2 linked regions of the Caenorhabditis elegans genome follow. The protein of the gene in region 2 purifies or fractionates together with the protein of the main gene of each other region. This does not show direct contact. Each region holds a gene or a part of one and is shown on either strand. Other genes may lie near its edges.

Evidence for each region. The genes of interacting proteins can lie anywhere in the genome.
Region 1: the proteins of ttr-35 (region 2) and hrpf-2 fractionate together in Caenorhabditis elegans (co-fractionation; one large-scale study listed by BioGRID). This does not show direct contact.

Annotation. Positions count from the first base shown.
Region 1 is NC_003282.8:6,370,403-6,380,755, reverse strand, and holds hrpf-2 (RRM domain-containing protein), read left to right. Parts: upstream 1-4,232; 5' UTR 4,233-4,233; coding exon 4,234-4,336; intron 4,337-4,380; coding exon 4,381-4,674; intron 4,675-4,726; coding exon 4,727-4,864; intron 4,865-4,992; coding exon 4,993-5,137; intron 5,138-5,234; coding exon 5,235-5,299; intron 5,300-5,973; coding exon 5,974-6,206; intron 6,207-6,254; coding exon 6,255-6,448; intron 6,449-6,498; coding exon 6,499-7,159; 3' UTR 7,160-7,622; downstream 7,623-10,353. Other genes in the region: shl-1 (BTB domain-containing protein), read left to right, coding at 220-396, 485-587, 989-1,181, 1,789-1,870, 1,920-1,997; bli-6 (Nematode cuticle collagen N-terminal domain-containing protein), read right to left, coding at 2,648-3,460, 3,569-3,649; smg-3 (MIF4G domain-containing protein), read left to right, coding at 7,669-7,929, 7,977-8,155, 8,211-8,422, 8,472-8,701, 8,754-8,846, 8,891-9,763, 9,815-10,161.
Region 2 is NC_003284.9:6,506,256-6,515,807, forward strand, and holds ttr-35 (Transthyretin-like family protein), read left to right. Parts: upstream 1-6,029; 5' UTR 6,030-6,031; coding exon 6,032-6,121; intron 6,122-6,166; coding exon 6,167-6,376; intron 6,377-6,419; coding exon 6,420-6,557; 3' UTR 6,558-6,663; downstream 6,664-9,552. Other genes in the region: glr-8 (Ionotropic glutamate receptor L-glutamate and glycine-binding domain-containing protein), read left to right, coding at 21-105, 475-530, 596-790, 841-921, 984-1,087, 1,413-1,618, 1,676-1,816, 1,862-1,950 and 4 more; ttr-36 (Transthyretin-like family protein), read left to right, coding at 4,682-4,826, 4,880-5,016, 5,059-5,157, 5,863-5,901.

The sequences.
Region 1 (10,353 bases), on a different chromosome or scaffold from region 2:
TTACGTTAAATACTCTCCATAAAACCTTCAACGTTTTGCAAATACCTTATCCCAAATGCACTAGGAAAATGTAAATTTTAAAGTTAATATTTGCATTGGAAAAATTAAAAATTAAAATATTTTTTTTTTAATTATACAAATCACTGAAGACTAAAGGTGAAACCTATTCATACAACACAGTCATTGTTTTTCATAATAAAAAATTAATTTTTCTTTCAGCTAACAACTCTTGGATACGGAGACATGGTTCCATCAACAATAATGGGTAAAATAGTTGGAGGAGTATGCTCACTGTCTGGAGTGTTGGTTATTGCTCTTCCAGTTCCAGTTATTGTCAGCAATTTCTCTCGAATTTATCATCAAAATCAGAGAGCTGACAAGAGAAAAGCACAGAAGGTATGGTTTTTCGTTCAGTTGTAAAACCTTTTTAAACACTTAGTGATTTTTTTGCAAATTTGTTGGATTAAATTTAATCAATTTTCAGAAAGCCCGTCTTGCTAGAATTCGGATCGTTAAAAACGCGTCTGGACTAGCATTATTCAATAAGAAGAGAGCTCATGAAGCTCGGATGCTAGCATTTGAACAGGGTAAGTTGGTTTTTTTTTTCATTAGAACATTTCGTATTGCCGGCTTAAGTTAGTTATTATTGAGTTGTCACAAAAATATTTAACTTTGGAAATATAGAAAAGTATTCCATTTTGTTTTTCGGTCTCTTGGCATTTCTGTTGGCTCAAAAAAAGCAAATATAAAACATTAAAATTAAAAATTAATAAAAACAGTTCGTGATTCCGCTTGCTCAAGAGGGCACAAATTTTGAATCCGGTATAAAAAACAGATTCTGTGGTTTTTTTTTATTCCGTTTTTTTATATTTAATGTTTTAGGTTTTCGGTTACTTAATTTATTAGCAATGTGAAACATTAAAAAAAAATTATGTGTACAAAATTCTAGATTATAATTGAGATAACTCTAAAAAGTGCATTTTTGCAGGTCATCTCTCTTTCGATGCTCTCCGAGACGAAGATATCTTCGAAATCCAACATCATCATCTTCTTCAGTGTCTAGAAAAAGCGACGGAACGTGAATTTGTTGAATCAGAAGTGATGTTTGAAGGTGGAAGAAATACTCCTCCGCCCAGTGAAACAGCTTCATTGAAAGGAAAAACAAAGCGTAAAAGGCGATTGTGAGTTTTTGATTTTCAATCCTTTGAAGATTTATTAGTCTCTGGATTTCAGGGTAAAAAAATAAGAAAAAATTTTATACTATTCATCAATAAAATAAATTATCATCAAAAAAATTCACTGATGCTTTCTTTTCGTTAATGCATTTAAAATGGAAAATAATCATGAATGAAAATGAAAACTGTAGAAAATATTGTTGCGTTTTAAAATCCAAAATTCAAAAATATGCCTCTGCAACCCTGGCTAAGATGTCTGCTTGAATTCCCACCAAACATAGAACAAGGATATTAGGCAGCGTTGAAATACCATGTTTTCAAAAATTGTAGTTTCAATTATTTCTTGAATTTTTTTGAGTTTCTTCTTTGTCAGCAATATTTTGAGTATTTTAAATTAGAACCCCATTCGAAAAGTGAGTGTACCACGAAATGGTCTCGTTGGTGCAACTTTAGAGGGAATTCAAATAGCAAAATTGACAAAAGTGGAAAAACCTTAAATTCTTGATGTTGGATTTACTTCTTATTTTTGTCATTTTTCCTTGGTGATATTTTTGATTTTTGGATCACAATTTTGAGTTAAAACAACAAATCTCCTGAAATTTATTTTTTTTAGATGCTGTGTTTCAAAAGAAAATGAAGAAATGGAAGAGTTGGATCGAGAGACTCGTGTAACATTCAATCAGAATATGGATCAGGTATAAACTAACACCAGTTATTTGTTGAAAATTATATTATTAATTTCAGATTTGTGAATTACCAAAACCTGATGAAATGGAACTCAATCATCGAAATAATGACAAAATTTGCGTATCGCAACTGTAATCTACTTCTTTATTTTATTTTTTTAAAATGATTTCTAAAAATCATTTTCTATAGAAAATTTCTCTCATTGCTCTACCGGTTCCGTCTTTCTAGAAGCTAGTTGTTCTTTTACAAAAGTTTTCTGAAATCATCCCTCCCAACTATTCGGTTTCCCCAATCTCTCATCAACGATGCAATTTTGTTTTTTTCTGTAATTTTTACTTTTTCAAGTTAGAAACAAATATATTTCCATTGAACCCGTTTCCCGAAAAACTTCATATCGCTCTTTTTCTTTTTCAGTTCGAGGTGACTTTTCTCTAAATTTTCCCCGCTACTAGGAGCCTCTCCGATGATCTGCCCATTGGTGGCAGATGTCTTTCATTTTTTTTTTGATTTTTCAGATGGAAATATAAAATTGAAGTAAAATTAACTTTTTATGTGCAGTTTTTTTTTTTTCAATTTTCCAGGTCTGTCGATAAAGTTTTATTTATTTTCTAATTTTAGAAAACCACAAAGGGAATTACTTTTTTTTAACTTAGTGAGCTGGTTCATTTGTATCAGCTCATTGCTGAAAAAATGTAACTGTACAACATTCCGCTTCATTCCAATTGCATTTTAAACTACAAAAAACTTTATAAACAGATACATAAAATAATGCAATTATCAACAGTTTATCGTCGGGTTCCGTCCTCAAAGAAGATTCCTCCATCGATAGCACAATACTTTGGACAGATTCCCTTCTCTCCAACACTTCCTGCTTGTCCGGCTTGTCCAGCTGGTCCTGGATTTCCATCAGATCCTGGTTGTCCTGGTTGTCCAGATGGCCCCTTTGGTCCTGGTTGACCTGGTTGACCATTTTGTCCTGGAGTTCCTGGTTGTCCAGGTGGTCCTTGTGGTCCAGCCTCTCCTGGTGCACCTGGTTCTCCTGGAACAAGTGGCTCAGATGGAGCATCTTGACCTGGGTTCCCATCTTGCCCTGGTGCTCCTGGTTGTCCATTGACTCCTGGTGGTCCCTTTGGTCCTGGTTGACCTGGTTGTCCATCTTGTCCTGGACCTCCTGGCTGTCCATCAAGTCCAGCATCTCCAGCTGGTCCTGGTGGTCCTTGAACTCCTGGTGGTCCTTGTGGACACGGTTTGCATGGTGGTGGGGTAATTGGGTCACATGGAGCTTGTGGTGGACGTCCTGGATTTCCAGGAAGTCCAGCTACTCCAGGCTTTCCTGGACGACCTGGCTTTCCTGGGGTACCGACGGGTCCAGCTGGACCTGGAAGACAGCATCCAGAGCAGGATCCTCCAGCGGCCCCAGCAGATCCAGCGGCACCAGAATCTCCGTAAGAAGCTTGACGGGCGGTACGGTTGGAACGGATCGAGGAGACCTCGTTGAGAATGTCTTTAGCAGAACCCTTACAGTACCGGATCTCGTGATGAATACCCTTCTTCACGTGCGAGACGTAGTTGTAGACCATCGGAAGTGTGATACATACCTACAAAAAAGTTCATAAATGGGTTTTTGGACACAGTTTAATTTTTAATTCACTTCCAAATTATCAAAGAAATCATAATATTAGTCTTGTTTCTACGTTTTTACTCACCGAAAGTACTGCAACAACACTGAATGTAACAGCAGCATAGGCCACAAAGCGATACGCTTTAACACGAGTCTCCACCTCCATTTCTGAAGCCGACAAATTGTGGCTTTGCCCGTTTCTCTTATATATTGTTCAGTTTTTCAACGGTTTTCTCAACATCCGATACGGCTATGCTAGTTTTGAGATTCTAACCGATGCGCTGTGAACGAAAAACATCACAAAAAATGGAAGGATAAGAGGTTTTTCCAATTTTTCAAAAGACAATCTTATCAGTTTACATATAATTTGTGATCTTTTCCGTTTCTTTACATCAACAATTGTGGTTTAGCATGTAAATTCCGAGTGAATGCAATCATTAATTCCTTTTTTATATTAATTTTTTATTTGGCCATGGCGCCACCAAATTTGGTTTTTTCCAGAGATGCAAGTCCGCAATGTGTCGTCAAGTCTGATGCATGAAGTTCACAAGGTAAACGCGCTCCACTGCACTGTGCCTTTATCTTTCAAATTTATTTTCCTCGCAGAAAAATTCCAACAGTTTGAATTTTAATCGTTTTTTTTGCGGTTTTTTGTCTTATTTTTCAAATAATTGTCAGTTTTCTATTTTTTAAATTCAATATTGACTACAACGACCCTCTTATTATAACGAATTTTATGCATTTTCCAGTATGTCGGAACAAACAACACAACCGACAACAGAAGACCAACAGTCGGCAGAAATAGCAGTAAAAGAAGAGGAAATTGCAGTGAAAACTCAATCCGCACCTGCAGGTTCGGTTTACTCGTAAATTAATCTTTTAAACTGAAAATTTCAGATGCTCCAGACATTCATCAATCGACAATTAAGGAAGCAGACGAATCAATGCCAACAAAAATTTCTTCTGGAGAACCACCAAGAAGCCAATATATAAGATTGCGTGGGCTTCCATTCAATGCTACCGAGAAAGATATTCACGAATTTTTCGCTGGGCTCACGATTGAACGAGTCAAATTCGTATGCACAACTGGACGCCCGAATGGTGAAGCATACGTGGAGTTCAAGAATACCGAAGAAGCTGGTAAAGCTATGGAAAACGATAGAAAAGAAATAAGTAACCGATATATTGAAGGTAGGCGTGATTCTAACTAGAAAAAAACATTATTAAAGCTATTTAATTTCAGTTTTTACCGTCGAAGCGGACGAAGCTGAGTTCGAATTTCGTCCAGATCCAGATTCCAATGGAGAAGTTAATCACGTTATTCGATTGCGTGGTGTTCCATGGTCTTGCAAAGAAGATGATGTTCGTAAATTTTTCGAAGGTGAGTATAATAAGTATGTAGAAATAATCCAAATAGTCTGCCGGTGAAATGTAATGTACAATGCCTAGATTCCCCTTCCCCTCTTGAATTTTTGGACGTTAACTTATGGGTTTCCTTATTCTATCCAGGGCTAGAACCACCACCGGCGGAAATTGTAATCGGCGGGACGGGTGGGCCGAGATCGAGACCATCCGGGGAGGCGTTCGTTCGATTTACGACGCAAGACGCGGCCGAGAAGGCGATGGATTACAATAACAGGCACATGGGATCGAGGTGGGTATTGATGATGATGATGACTTATGGTAACTGCTGATTACGGGTTCATTTTGGTGAATTTTTAATTTTTAAAAAGTAATTTGTCTTTTTTCAGATACGTTGAAGTATTCATGTCAAGTATGGTCGAATTTAATCGAGCAAAAGGTGGAGGATCGGGAGGTGAGATTACAGTAGTTCACTTTAAAGGCGCATACTTGCTTTTAGGCGGGTCTTGCCACGATTTCCAGTATTTTAATTAATACTGGACCTAAACTGTCAAAATGTATATTTCATGTGAAAACTGAAGTCCTTGAAATCTCGCATTCTAATTAGACTTTTAAAGTGCACAGAAGAAGACATGATGTACCAAAAAAGGTGTAATTCATCGCAATTTCACAAAATCTTCTTAAAGGCGCACCGGTTTATTCTGATGGGCCTCGGTGCGCAATACGGTAGATTTTCGCATTTCTGTTTTTTTTTTTTTTCTTTCATTTCTCAATGAAATTATTCAGTTTTTCGCCAATCTTGCCCTTCCTTTTTCTCATTTTTCTGATAAAAAATAGAAAACGAGACAAAATTCGCAAGAAAAGAAGTGATTTAATTCAAAAATGCAAGAAACAGCAGCAAAAATTAAATAAAAACTACCATATACTCATTTTCGCGCCAAGACCCATCTGAATGAGCCTTTATTAAAACATGTCGAAATATTTGAAAAGCAAATCTGCGCACATTTCTGTTACGGTGCACATCAAATTTCAACATTTTAAAAATTGTCTCTTGAAATGCTCATTTAGTTTACTATTTATTGATATAACAAATCTTGATAATAAATATTTTCAATTTTTATTTTACAGAATACTCGGCATCTTACGAAAGAACTGGAATTCGCCCACTGATGTCCGTGGATTCAGGATATGACCACGGAAGACGAGGTGGTGGTGGAAGATACGGCGACAGCAGCTATGATCGTGGTTATGATGACTACAATCGTGGAAGTTATGGCGGACGTCGGGATTATGGATACAATGGTGGACACGATCAAGGAGGTCGCAGTGATTATGGAAGAGGAGGCGATGATCCGCTGAGGGTATGAGTATTTTTCTGCGATTGTAAAATAAATTATTTTATTTTTCAGGTGTATATGCGTGGTCTTCCTTATGATGCTGATGATCATGCTATCGCTGCTTTTTTTTCTCCACTTCGATGCCATTCAGTCAAAATAGGAATCAACGAAACTGGTCGTCCATCTGGAGATGCTATTGCGGAATTTGACAATTACAACGATCTTCAAGTCGCTCTCTCGCGTAACAATCAAAGAATGGGAAGACGGTAATTTGAAATTTATAATCAGAACATGGAATAATTATTGTTATTTGTAGATATGTCGAACTGTTTGATAATCGTGGAGCGCCTGGTCCAATGCGTCGTCTTCTTTGGAAAGAAACAAGTGGCACGAATGCATCAGCTGCTCCAGCGCCTGATCCGATTCTTAACGGAGGAAGACGTGGCGGAGGGCCACCACAACGAGACTCTGGCTACAGGGCAGGTCCTCAAGCTATGCCACCATCATACAGAGAATCAAGGGATCCATATGGCCCACGGGAACCACGAGGATACGATATAGAACCCAAATATGAACCACGAGGCATCCCACCACGCAGTGCTCCAATTCGTGCACCACCAGCTGCGCATGGCCGGGCTCCTGATACGTGGGGAAGTTATGGAGCAGCATCTACTGGTCCGAGTTATGATCAGAGCAGTGCTGCCGGAGGTTATGCTGCAAGCTGGGATGCTTATTATGCTTCACAAGCACAGTCTGCGTATTCTGCAGAACCTGCATCCACATATCCCACAGCTGCTCATTCTGCATATGGATCAGGCGAATCATATTCGTATGGAGCATCTGCTGGAGGAGCTTACGATCGTCAAAGAGAACCTAGAGACTCACAGCCAACATGGGCTCAGCAACAACAACCGTCTCATCACAGTGCTTATGGAGGATGGGGAGCTGGAGCTGGAGATCATCGAAGTGGATATTAATTATCTTCTTTTTTTTCTTTTCACTTCTGACTTCCTTTTTTCTGTTCCTGCCAAAATCCCAGTTCTTTCGATTTTCCAGACAAATGAGCATTGTTCCTTATAATCTAGTGTATCACTTTACTTTTTTCTCTGTTCTCCGAGGTCTCGGTTATTTATTATCTTGTTCTCATGATTTTCCAACGCGAACGTCTTATTTTACCTCTGTTCTGTTCAACTATCAAAATATCATGCTTTGATCTTCCTACACAATTTTTATTAATTAATAGATTTCTGAATTTGAGACTTTCATTGTTTTTTTTTTCTGTATCCTTTTTGATATTTAATGGCTGTTCGCCCCGCGTTTTAATATGTTACAATTTGGAAATTCTTATTTCTTTTTAATTAGGAAATGAGACATGGATAATTATTTCACTTCTTGGTTGTTTCATAGAATGTTGGAATGTTCAATTATATACTTGAGTGTACACTTTATTTTGTAAAATGACGATTCTCTATCACAGTCTATGCAGATGCGGCGAAAAGTCGAGACATCATGGCTGGAAGAGCTGAAAAAGCGTGTAAAATATCAAGAAACAAGTCGTCTTCAAATGGTCGAGATTCGAGAAACTTTGCTCGATAACGAAAAAGAATTGCGAAGTTTAGATTCAACATTGAAAAAGACGACGAGTTTTATGAAAAAAGTGAAGCTTCTCAGTGCGGCCACTGTTCCACAATTAATTGAAGAATTATCGAAATTGAATTTAAGCAAATTTGTTGAGGAAATGGCGTCGGTGGGTTCTTGATTTCGAATTCCATTGAAAATCGGATAATTTTTCAGGGAATTATAGAGACAAAATTGAAGTTATCCGATATTCCGAAAGTAACAGAGCTCTGCCTTGCAATTTCTGCGAAATATTCAAACTTCAGTGAACAGATGGCTGGGGAATTCAAAAAAGTTCTTCCTGTTAAAAAGAGTGACAAAATTGCAAATGTTGCAAAATTGAGAGTGGATATTATGTTAGATTGCATTAATAAGACAGTTTTCATCTGAGAATAAATAAAATATTTCCAGCTTCCTCGCTGAACTTTGCCTGTGTGGAGTTTTCAATGAAAAGGAAGGACTTCAAGTTCTCGGTGCTGTATTAAGTTATTTGATTCAAACAGATAAGACTGATTTTGTCAATGTTGGATTATTGGCTACAGTATCTAGAACTGTTGGATGGCAAATTGCAAATATTGTGCCAATTCCAATGGATGATGCTGAAACGGTCGAGATTCAAGACGGTTGTTATCTTTTTAATCAGGAGCGTATATTCATTATCAATGTTTTCAGAAGAACTCCCTGAGTCATCAGCTCTCTCAGTTGAACAGAAAAAGTCGATTCGTGAGCTCTTCAAATCATACTACGATTCACTTTATTCGAAAACCGAGAAAACGTGTTCGGCAAGAAATAAGGCGATGAAGAGAGTTAAACGACAGGAAAGAAGCCGTGGAGACGCTGGTGATGAGGAAAAGACAACTTTGAATGATCTTCAGTCTGAATTGGATTCTCTGCGGAAAATGGTACAAAAATTAATTACCCAATAGGAAAATTTGAGAAAACCCCTCATTTTAGGCTATAGAGATATCGTCTGCAATCGGTGTGGAAATGAAACCGCTAAAAGAGGAAGCTAGTGACGATGAAGAGGATGAAGCTGCCAACTTGGAGGTTTTTTGATTCGACCAAAAACTTGAACTTATTCTATATTTCAGATGGGACGCAAACTTGCAGAAGGAGCAATCAAGCTGTGGAGTGATGAAGAGACGAAGGCATTCTACGAGGATCTTATCGATCTTCGACAGATGGTTCCCAAGGATCTTTATAAAGAATCTGAACAGAGAACTCTCAGCAAAGCGAAGATGGCTGAAAGGATTGAAGATGTCGATATGGAAAATATCAATGAATCCGGAGCAATGGATGCGAAGAGATCATCATTACAACGTGGAGAGTCTGAAAAGGAGACGACACCAGAAGATTCTCAACTTCAAGCTCTTCTCAAAGAAGCTGTGGATGCATCCGAAGAACGAGGAGTCAGCAAATGGCAAAGTTTTGTACTTGATTTGGATCATCTTGTCAGCAAGTACTCAACTGACCAAGCAGCTATTTATTTTGTTTCGAATCTGAATAATAAGGGTTGTCGCAAGAGGCTTGTGAAGCTTATGATCGATCCACCTCCGTCTCGGATCGATGTTGTTCCATTTTATGCCCGACTTGTCGCTACTCTCGAGAATGTGATGCCTGATTTGACAACTGAAATCGTAACTCAACTACTCGAGAAATTCCGCGGATTTTTGCAACAGAAACCATCGTCAGCTACTGCTATAATCAAAGTGGAATCAAAGATGGTTTGCGTGATGATGATAGCTGAACTGATGAAGTTTGGAGTAATTTCTCGTGCTGAAGGACTCAGTTGTTTGAGACAACTTGTGTATGATTTACGTGGACATTCTGTAGAAATGACAGCGACATTCATGGAATCTAGTGGTCTTTATCTGTATAGACATACTGAATCACATGCAAAAATGAAGAGATTATTGGAAGTTGTGAAGGCGAAACGAGAACGAATGAAAGATCAAAGACAAGCGGTATGTTTAGATGAACTACATCATAATATTAATTCAATTTCGATATTTCAGATGCTCATAGACAATGCGTATTTCACCTGCCTTCCACCAGAAGATTCAAAAGAAGAACGTCTTCGTTTGAAGCTAGACGAAGAGGATACTCCAATGAAACGATTTATTCGTCACATAATTCTGGATATCAATGAATCAACCGTTGATGTTTTCTTAAAATGTCTTCGGAGGCTTGAATGGTATGATCCAGAAGTTGCTGATTATGCAATTCGTTATCTCTCCTCCACGTGGCTTCTTCCCATTGAAAATCTTCAACACGTGGCATCTGCGATTGCTGGTCTCTGTAATTTGGTACATCTTCAATGGATTGGAATGGCTGTAATTGATTCAACAATTGAAACTATTCGGTATGAACGATTTTCGATAGAGATGTGCGGCACATTTACACAGAAATATATATATAACTTTTTTTGTACTTTCTGAAAAAAATTGCTCTCAATGAAAAGTTTCGAGGCATTGCCCATTGATTCAAATCAGGGGTGTGCGGCAAATTTGCCGAATTTGCCGAACTTGCCGAGCTCGACAAATTTTGAGATTTG
Region 2 (9,552 bases):
AGATAGACTCTCATAAGGCCATGTTCTCGCCAGAGTTCGAAAATACTACAGCTGATCCAAATTCTATTAGGACATTAAATAATATTCTAGAGTCTATAAATGAAAGTAAGTTTTGACAAAACATATTTACACTTTGCAGATGTTTAATAATGGGACTTTTTTTGAAGTAAACAATAAATTAAATTTTAGCGATTTGCTAAACCTTTGACGGAAAACTTTCAAAAAAATATTGGCTCACGTTTACGTTTAGTTTTTGTTGCAAAGTTTGAGAAAACCCTTAAATACGGCTAAAATGGAAATTTGCTGTAACATTTTAAAGCTGTTTTTTTTAGCTTAATGCAATTTTTTCAAAAAGCATTCCTAACATTTATCACAATTTTATAAAATGAAACCCTGGACTACGGAATTATGTATTTCTTTGCGGTTTGAAAAAATAATTTCAAAAATTTCAACGTAGATTCATAATTTGTTCAGAAGTTGCTCATCCGCCTCAAACTTCCCTAACGAGCGACTATGGAGATGCATATACTGTAAGTATGAATATATTCATCTTAAAATAATAGTTCACTGAAAATTAGTGATCAAATTTTTCCAGCTCAGCAATGAAAAACACTTTTCGCTTTCCGAAATGAAAGGAAGAACTTTAAAAATGGTGGTTCCCGCAATTGAGCCGCCTTATGTAAACTATGTGAACTTTTCCGACGCAGCAGTTACTGATAAGGGTTATGGCCCTGGAGTTGTCATGGAGATACTTAAAGAAATAGGAAAACGTCTAAATTTAACATATGAGGTTTGTGGGAGCATAAGAAATTCAAACTGAAGAGCTTCAAATTTTTAAAGATATTACCGGCATTGGGAAGTACTTGGGGTGAATATCTCAATGGATCATGGACAGGAGCATTTGGGCAATTAGTTAGAGGGGTAAGAAAAAAGCTAAAAATATTAGCTTTACTCAAGGTATCTTAAATTCAAATTCATTTCAGGAAGTAGATTTGCTCGCAGGAGGTGCAATAATGGAGTATGATCGAAGTGTGATTGCGGATTTAACGTATCCTTTTCAATTCGAACCAACAGGAATAATGATAAGGTAATCAGGGGTCGGCGGAAAAAGGCAAATTTTGGCAATTGGCGACTTCGTCAAGTACCAGTTTTTGAAATTTTAGGCACTTCAAACCGAACTATTGTTCAAAAATAACAATTTTAATTTTTTTCAACGTATCCCGTGAATGTTTTTTGGAGAAAAGGCAATACAGTTTAAAATTAAAATGATCTTCTTGCAAGAAAATAAATTTCTACACTCAAAAATGTATAGAAACCGGCATATTTATATTTTTTGATAATTCTCTTTTCTAGCGACTGCTTTTATTTTTATAGACTAGTGCCGAAATTGTCAAAAATTCAAGTTTTTTCAGGTCTCCAGAAAAATATGAAGATGATACCCTTCTTATTGTTACTGAGCCTTTCTCATGGGAAGTGTGGGTGATAACTGCAGCTGTGATTTTAATTTCTGGTGTCATTTTTCTTGTGATGACAAATATTATTCGTAAGGTTTACGAAGAAATGACAGTGACGCCATTCGAATCAATTTGGGTATTTTTCTCGATTTTCGTTCAACAAGGTATGCGTGAAAACAATTAATTTACATTGGCGCTGAATAGAAAAAAGTTGTTTCCAGGGCTACCAGAACAACCACGAAGCTGGAGTTGTCGAGTTCTCGTTGCATTGTGGTGGTTGGCAAGCATTACACTCAGTGCCACATTCACGGGAAGTCTGGTGGCTCTATTCGCCGTTGACAAAACTAATGTGCCATTTCAAAGTGAGCAATCAGCAATGTCGAACTTTGTGTTAATGATTATTGCAGACATTGATCAACTTGTGAGATTAGTGAAACAGGGGAAATTTGAAATTGTAATGGACGAAAATTCCTTCACTCGTACTGAAATGATTGCAGTTAGTTTTACACAATTTTTTCGAAAAAAAAAACAAAATAAAAATAAATTCAGCGTTCAAAACTTCCTGTTTACCGAGATTTATGGCATGAGATGATAGTGAATCATAAAGTGAAATACGTGAATGGAATAGCTAGAGGTAAATATTTCTACTTATTAAAAAAATAGTGAAGTGTGTGGTTATTGTTTTTGCTTAAATGAACTAACACTGAACTCATAAGTTGAATTTTATTATGAATTCTTGCAACTATTTTATGGCAAATGAATAATTGTTGACAGGGCCAAATTATGTCAGCTTCTTATCGCAGCGGTCGGGATATATCTAGGTTTTTTTTGCGAATTTTTCAACCATCATGGAACATCTTTTGATTAGTTTATGAGAACTTTCATTATTAAATACTGTTGCAGCCAATTTTAATTTGTTTAAGTTAATAATGCAACAAGCTCTACTAAATATGACCTATTACTTGTAAGATTTGTGTCTTACTTTGTTACGCTTCGTTATATAAGGAAAGGAAAATACAGACAGTATAGTTTTAAAAAAAGCAATACGCTCTACCCGTATTTTGTATTTTTTCTAGTTTCGTAGAAATGTTTCTTATCTTTTTGTGGAATTTTTTAATATTAACTGTTTTACTAACTGGTAGGACGGAATATGTTGTACAGACTGAGAATACCACGTGTGATATTCCATTTAAAACTCTGTAATTCCTATTTTCAGGTGTTGCATTTGTTCGAGCAAATCCAGGATATGCACTTCTTGGACCAATGGCCACACTGAACTTTTACGCGTATTCCGATTGTAAAGTGATACTCTTTAATGACGGAATTTTGCCTGTTTACCTTTCCATTCCTCTTGTGAAAAACTCAATTTATTCGCCGTATTTCTCAACAAAGTTAGTACGAGAGGGAATTGGAAAATATGAAATTGGAAAAAAATCAGCTGTTGAGAAGTGTTCATAACTTTTAGTAATATATTTGAATCTCAAAATATTTTGAATATATTATAGTTACATACATCTACATATTTTAATAACCTCCGAAAAAACATCCGAAATATTATGTGGCGCTAGAACATCTTGCACTTTACAAAACAAAGCCACCAAAAATTTGAGAAAAATAACTGAGAGGGGACAAATTATAATTTAGAAAATGTCACATTTTATTTGAAAAAAACTGTTCCAGAATTCGAGAAATGGTTGAACGAGGTTTCACACAAAAATGGATAGCAGACTACAGATCCTACGTTGCTATGCAGAAAATAAATGAGTGCAACTCTACCACCATCGGTCCGAAAAGTTACTTGGATTTGAAACGTGCCCAGGGAGCATTTTGGGTTTTTCTTGGTGGTGCTGGACTTGGTTTAGCTCTTTTCGTTGGCGAGTTTATATTCAAATTTTTCAGAGAAAAGGTGAGTTCATTTTTAGTCTTCTATATATTAAGAAATATGTAATTTAAGATGACGAAACACACGAAGACAACAACTGTGCCCCCAGAAGTTGCAACAGTTTCTGCGAATGTAGCTGAAAACTCTACTAGTTTAGATATCCCAGATGAAGTTCTGCCTTCTGCACCTTTACCGAGTGAAGATGGGAACTGGAGTTTACGCCGTCGAAATATACTTAATCTTTCTCTTGATTTATCAAATATCGCAAACTGATGAATCAATCTGATCTCTTCAATTCATTTTCCTATTGAACCATGTGGCTTTCCAAACGTTCGTAATGCAATAAATCGAGAGTCTTCGGACCAACTGTCGTCTTGTTTTCGGTCAACACGACGCCTTATGGCACCCCACTAGCTCATTTCACAACCACTTTCTTCAACGTTATCACTTGACCTCGCGTATTGATTATGATATTTTATCGCGTTTTATCTTTGATTTTATAACTTTCAGAAAACATTTAATTATAGACGTTAGACTTTAACCCCATTTCCAGTTTTTGTTTGATTATTATTTTTCTATTTTTTTTTTTTGAATATGATTCAAAAGACTAAAAGTCCAATGACTTTTTTTCTGAACGTCAAATAAGACACCATAAAGGAGGAGGTTCTGGTTTTTGTTTTGCTTGTACGTACGTAAAATGTGCTCAAATAAACAATATTCAAAATGAGACTTTTCAAAAGTTTCTCAAAATTTTTATGGTGGTTCAAAATTTAGAATAAACAGTTTTAACTAAATTCTCCAGTTTTGACAACTTTTTGTGTAGTACAATTTGGAAAATCGTTTTTATTTTATCATTACTTCTTGTATATATTGTGTGTTTATCTAACATTATCCCGTTTATTTAAATGCTTTTTGTGAATTGATTGATCAGCCACAAAAGATTTTTTAACCATTTCAGTAATTTATCAAAAAAACAAACATGTTGGGGTCTGTTGGGTCTCAAAACAATTAAAAATTTCAAAAACCAAAAAAAAACATTCGGTTTTGCACAGAGAAATTTGTACTTTTTACTCTATAATAGTTCATGATTTCTATACTCGGAAATGTGAGTTCAGACAAGTGACCCAAATCCATTTATCAAAATTTGAACAACACTGTCACTCAATTTTGATTTTATTGTGTTTGACTTAAATTTTCTCGGAACTGTCAACATTTCGTTATCTACTTCATTAACTCAACATTTCGTCTCTTTCAATAAATATTTTTTCTTGACAATTGATACCTTTTCTCGAAAACTAGATTATTTCCCAAAAATATGAAATTCAACTTTAAATTTCAGTAATAGATGATGAAGACTCTAGTTCTTACATTACTATTAATCGGTGGAGCATTTGCATTCCGTACTCAATCGACTGGAGTCAAAGGTAGACTCATGTGCGGAAGTAAACCAGCTGCTGGTGTGAACTTGAAACTTTTTGATGAAGATAATGGTTAGTGATCCTCGATTAATTGCAAGTTTGTGACGTACCAATTGAATTTCTAGGCCCAGACCCAGACGATGTATTGGATCAAAAAACAACCGATGACGATGGAAACTTTCTGTTGTCTGGGTCTTCAATGGAGCTGACACCAATTGATCCAGAACTAAGAATTTTCCATGACTGCAATGATCAAGGAAGCGTAGGTGCCAATTTGTAATATTAATTTTTAACCTTTTTTCAGCCTTGCCAACGAGAATGGGTTATCCGGATACCAGCAAAATACATTACTAATGGGCCAGAAGTGAAGGAAATCATGGATCTAGGAGTTTTAAATTTGGAGGTTGGTGATTGATTAAAAGTACTTTTGGTATTTATGGGTTTCGTCCCCCCCCCAAAGTGATTTCCATATTTTCTAATTGAGACGTGAACTTTTTCTTCATTCTCAGGCTTAGGGAAATTATTTTCTAAGCCTAAACATGAAAACAGTATTAAAATAAACATTCACGTGTGGATTAAAATTAAAAAGGTAGTGTTAAATAATTAAAAATCATTTTGGGGGGAACGAAACCGTGTACCGTACCTTTTTATTGTTTTGTGTTTTTATCAGGTTTTATAATAAGTTTTCGAAAAATTATTCGATATATAGGTGTGCGGCTCAACCTATATGTAAATCCTTGTATAGCCTATTTTATATTTACCGTATATCCTCTATTAGTAAGGCGTGCAAAACTAATTTTCGGACACCTAATTTGATGCAAAACTAATAGAGGTGCAAAACTAATAGAGAATATACGGTAATATAAATTTGACATGCTGATTTGAACGCTGCATAGTGTCGTCCGTGGGTATTTTGCTTTAAGTTGCATTGAGTTAAAGTGAAGGTGGGTCGGCAAAAAGAACCCCCTCACAATGTTTAGCAATATTATTAAAAAACAATGTTAATAATCATATTCAGTAATTGTTTTCAAGTTCAAATGAACGCAATGATTGAAAAGCTGGCAAATTTAATTTTCTAGTCAAAAATTATCAATCATATTTTTTTCAGATCGAATTGGACAACGAAAGTAGAAGCTGTGCTCACTAACTGAATAATGTTCAACTTTAACAAATAAATATGGTTCTTAAAATTGTTGTCATCTTTAATGTTTGGTTTCTGACCAACTTTTCTATCTTTTTTTTTTAATTTTCCTTATTAAAATTTGTATAATTCAGAGATGATTTCCAAACTTTTGATCCTTGGAACATGTGTTCTATCAGTTGTCTTGGCTGCATCGGAATCGCACTCTGGACGTCAAAACTACAGAGTGGGCTTTATCAGAAATTCAAATTATTTAGACAGTTTTTTTCAGGTGAAAGGCGCGTTTAGATGTGGCAATGTTCCAGTAAAAAATGTTCAAGTAAAGCTGATAGATGACGACTTTGGATCCGACCCTGATGATGATTTGGGTAGCGGCTATACAAACGCAAACGGAGAGTTCGAATTGAGTGGATCCACCACGGAACTCACAACTATTGATCCTCACCTGAAAATCTACCACGATTGTGATGACGGAATTAATGTAAGTTTCTAATTATTCATGCAACACAAAAACTTATTTTCAGCCATGCCAAAGACGTTGGAAGTTTGAATTGCCAAACAACTACATTTATTCGGACACTGACACACCGAAGACTTTTGATATTGGAATTTGGAATTTAGAAGGAATCCTTCCTGGAGAGAGCAGAGACTGCAATCATTAATTTTTAATTTGCCTTTTAAAAACTATTTGTATAAGTTAAATCATTCTAAAAAGCTATGTTTCGATTGAATTCGCATTATCAGTTTTGAAATGAAATTTTCTATTAATAGCGTCACACTTGATTAAAAAATTTGATCACATAAAATTTTAAGTCTAAAACTATATTTTTTAAAACTTTTATTCTCAAACTATTAAAAAAACGAACAATTTCTAGGTGCCAGGTAACAGGACTCTAAACAGCTCATGTGGCAAAAACACAAGCAAAATTATGATTACAAAAAAACATGTTAAAAACTTGAGGCACTGACCAGTTGGAACAAAAATTTGAAAATTTCTGGTTCATTTCTGGAGTTTTGGAATTTGCAATTTTTAATATTTAGTTTGCGAGCCGGTCGGTGCTAATGTAATTCTGCACAACTTTACTTGTAATGAAAACATATTTTGCCTAGATGAATAGAAAAAATTAGTTGATACTTGTATCTATCCGAATTGAGCTCAGCTTCCTTTGACCCGTAGTAGACCACAATATTTTAAAAGTTATCAGATAATCGGAGAGTTTATTGTTTTTGTGTTAAGTTGTTTGTAGTATGAAATTAATAGCAATATTTCATTTATAAGAAATCATACAAAAATATCGGTATTCTGAATTTAGATGTCAATGAGATTATTGTAATAGACGATATATTGAAAACGTCTTGTTATTTTCAGAATTTTGAGAATAAAGTTAAACTTTCAGTATGCACCTCCTTACTAACTATTTTTGAAAAGTATTTCACTTTTCCATATTCACTATCGCCTCCTTCAGCCTATTAAAGATGGCTTTTTTGAGGCCAAATATTCGGCGATGCTATCTTCCAAAAATTTTAAGTGTTGCGCATCTTGATGACGCTTCCAATACTGTCCGCGCATACCACCACTAGCTAACTTTCCTTTTTTAGAGAAAAAACCAACGTTTTCCATTTTTCTTCCATAATCTCGCTGACCGTCTTGCGTTTTTTTCTGACACGACATGCCACCGGCGTAGGATCGACGCTGTCTCCCGGCCGCGCCAATATATTTGTTGTAGTAGTGGAAGAGGCGAAAGTGAAACATGCTTTTTTATTGGTGACCACGACCCAGAACAGTAAGAGGTGAAGAGATTTGAAATCCGAAGGTGTTTCATCCGACCTATATTATTGGGTCTCATCTATTCATGCGAGTGTGCAAACAAATACTTTCTTCAACTCAAGCAAAATTTCACCGAACGCACTTTTATTGGGTCATTCACCTATATTGTCACTTTTCAAAAAAAAAGTTTCTGTTATATGGCTTAAAAAATTGTACATGCTTTTCCATTTTATATGTTTTCCGATTTCTACTAGGTGTTTTGGAAATCTGTTCTTGTAACTTGAATATTGATTTCATGTACTCCGTGCAGACCAAAATGTTTCGACATTTTACTAGGGTTTAAAGGCCAAAGCTAAATTATCCATCTTTTAGTTCAAAGTTTATAGCATCAAAAATACATAAACGATCAACAAACTGTCACAGTTTTGCCCGCTAATCATGTTTAATCATTTATATTTCAACATTGTACGGTCTGAACATGCAACATTGCATTAGATTTCTCGGTACCTGGTGCAAATTTAATTTGACTGGAAATAAAATACTTTGAAACGTTTTGTTAAAATATTGGGTAATTTCAGCACTATTTAAATGAATTTCTATGATTTCTTCACAGGTCGTAGTCATCATTTGATTAAATTGCCACCAACTCATACATATAAACAACTAACAAAATGCCAATCTTTTTTTATTGATATCGCTATCATCTTCTTCTTTTATCAAAGTCTACTCTAAGGTGTTGATATTGACGAATGACACCACAATCATTATCTCTTGCAAATGTGATAACTTTTATGACGCGAATCGCCACTAGCTTTAGAGATATGCAACAATGACGATGAAGGATCGGTTGCGCCGCCGAACAAGCGATAACAAATCTGACCCGACGACTCCATAACAATATCCACTTTCCTTATTTCCTGGTTGAAATTGTTGGGAACTTTTAGATTGGAAACTGAATTTTGCCATTAATCATCTTCTCAGATTTTTTCGGTTTCCATACAAACCTTCCAATTACCTCGTAACCGATCCTTCAATTTTGCACGGAGCTTTACTCGTTTTTTCATTTCTTTTTTGTTTCTAGCTTTTTCCTCAAAATTCATACTTCATCCCTATTCTTTCTCCTGATCATCCTCTTAAGCTGGACCTTTCGTTTTCATCAAGACTCGTCAAAAGGTGAAATGACAGTAAGTGTGGCGTTGTACACGTTTCTTTTCATACAGTAATAGTGTACACATCATCTTTTCTGCTTCTTCCTACCGATGTGTTTTTTCTTGCAAATGTCCGGGAAAGTGAACGAAAGTAAACTAGTCGGTAAAGAAAATCGTCGTTCATCCTACAGTCACCGTCTCCTTCACTATGTTTCCCTTCTTGACAACGACGCTCCGCAGAATCTTGTTGAAGTAAAAAGAGATCATGTGAAGAAGCCTACGGGTTACGAGGCAGACAGAGAAAATGAGAGAGACAGAAACATATCGTACACGGCTTCTTCGAGACAGACAACAAGGGAATACGAGAGAAGGAAAAGGCCACCCCAATGACCTGGATCCTCGCTCTTCACTCATTTCACTTTTCTCGTGACGCACCGCGCCAGCACTTTCACCTGAAATCGGCCTCCCTCATCTCTGTTTCGATCCCTCGTTAGGGGGCAAAATAGGGGCTAGATGGAGGGAATGAGTGAGAAGGAGGAGGGTGAGGAGGAGATGGGCCACTTTTCGGACAACATCAAAAAGTTTGACCTCTGACAAGAACACGATCCCTTTCCTTTTGTTGTCATTTTTCAAATTCTCTGAAATCCCCAGAATCCTAAAGCTCCCTTTCTTTCATTATTCAAACTTTTCACCTCCCTGGTATGCAATTTTAGGTTTCGCTAACAATTTTGTTTATTGTAA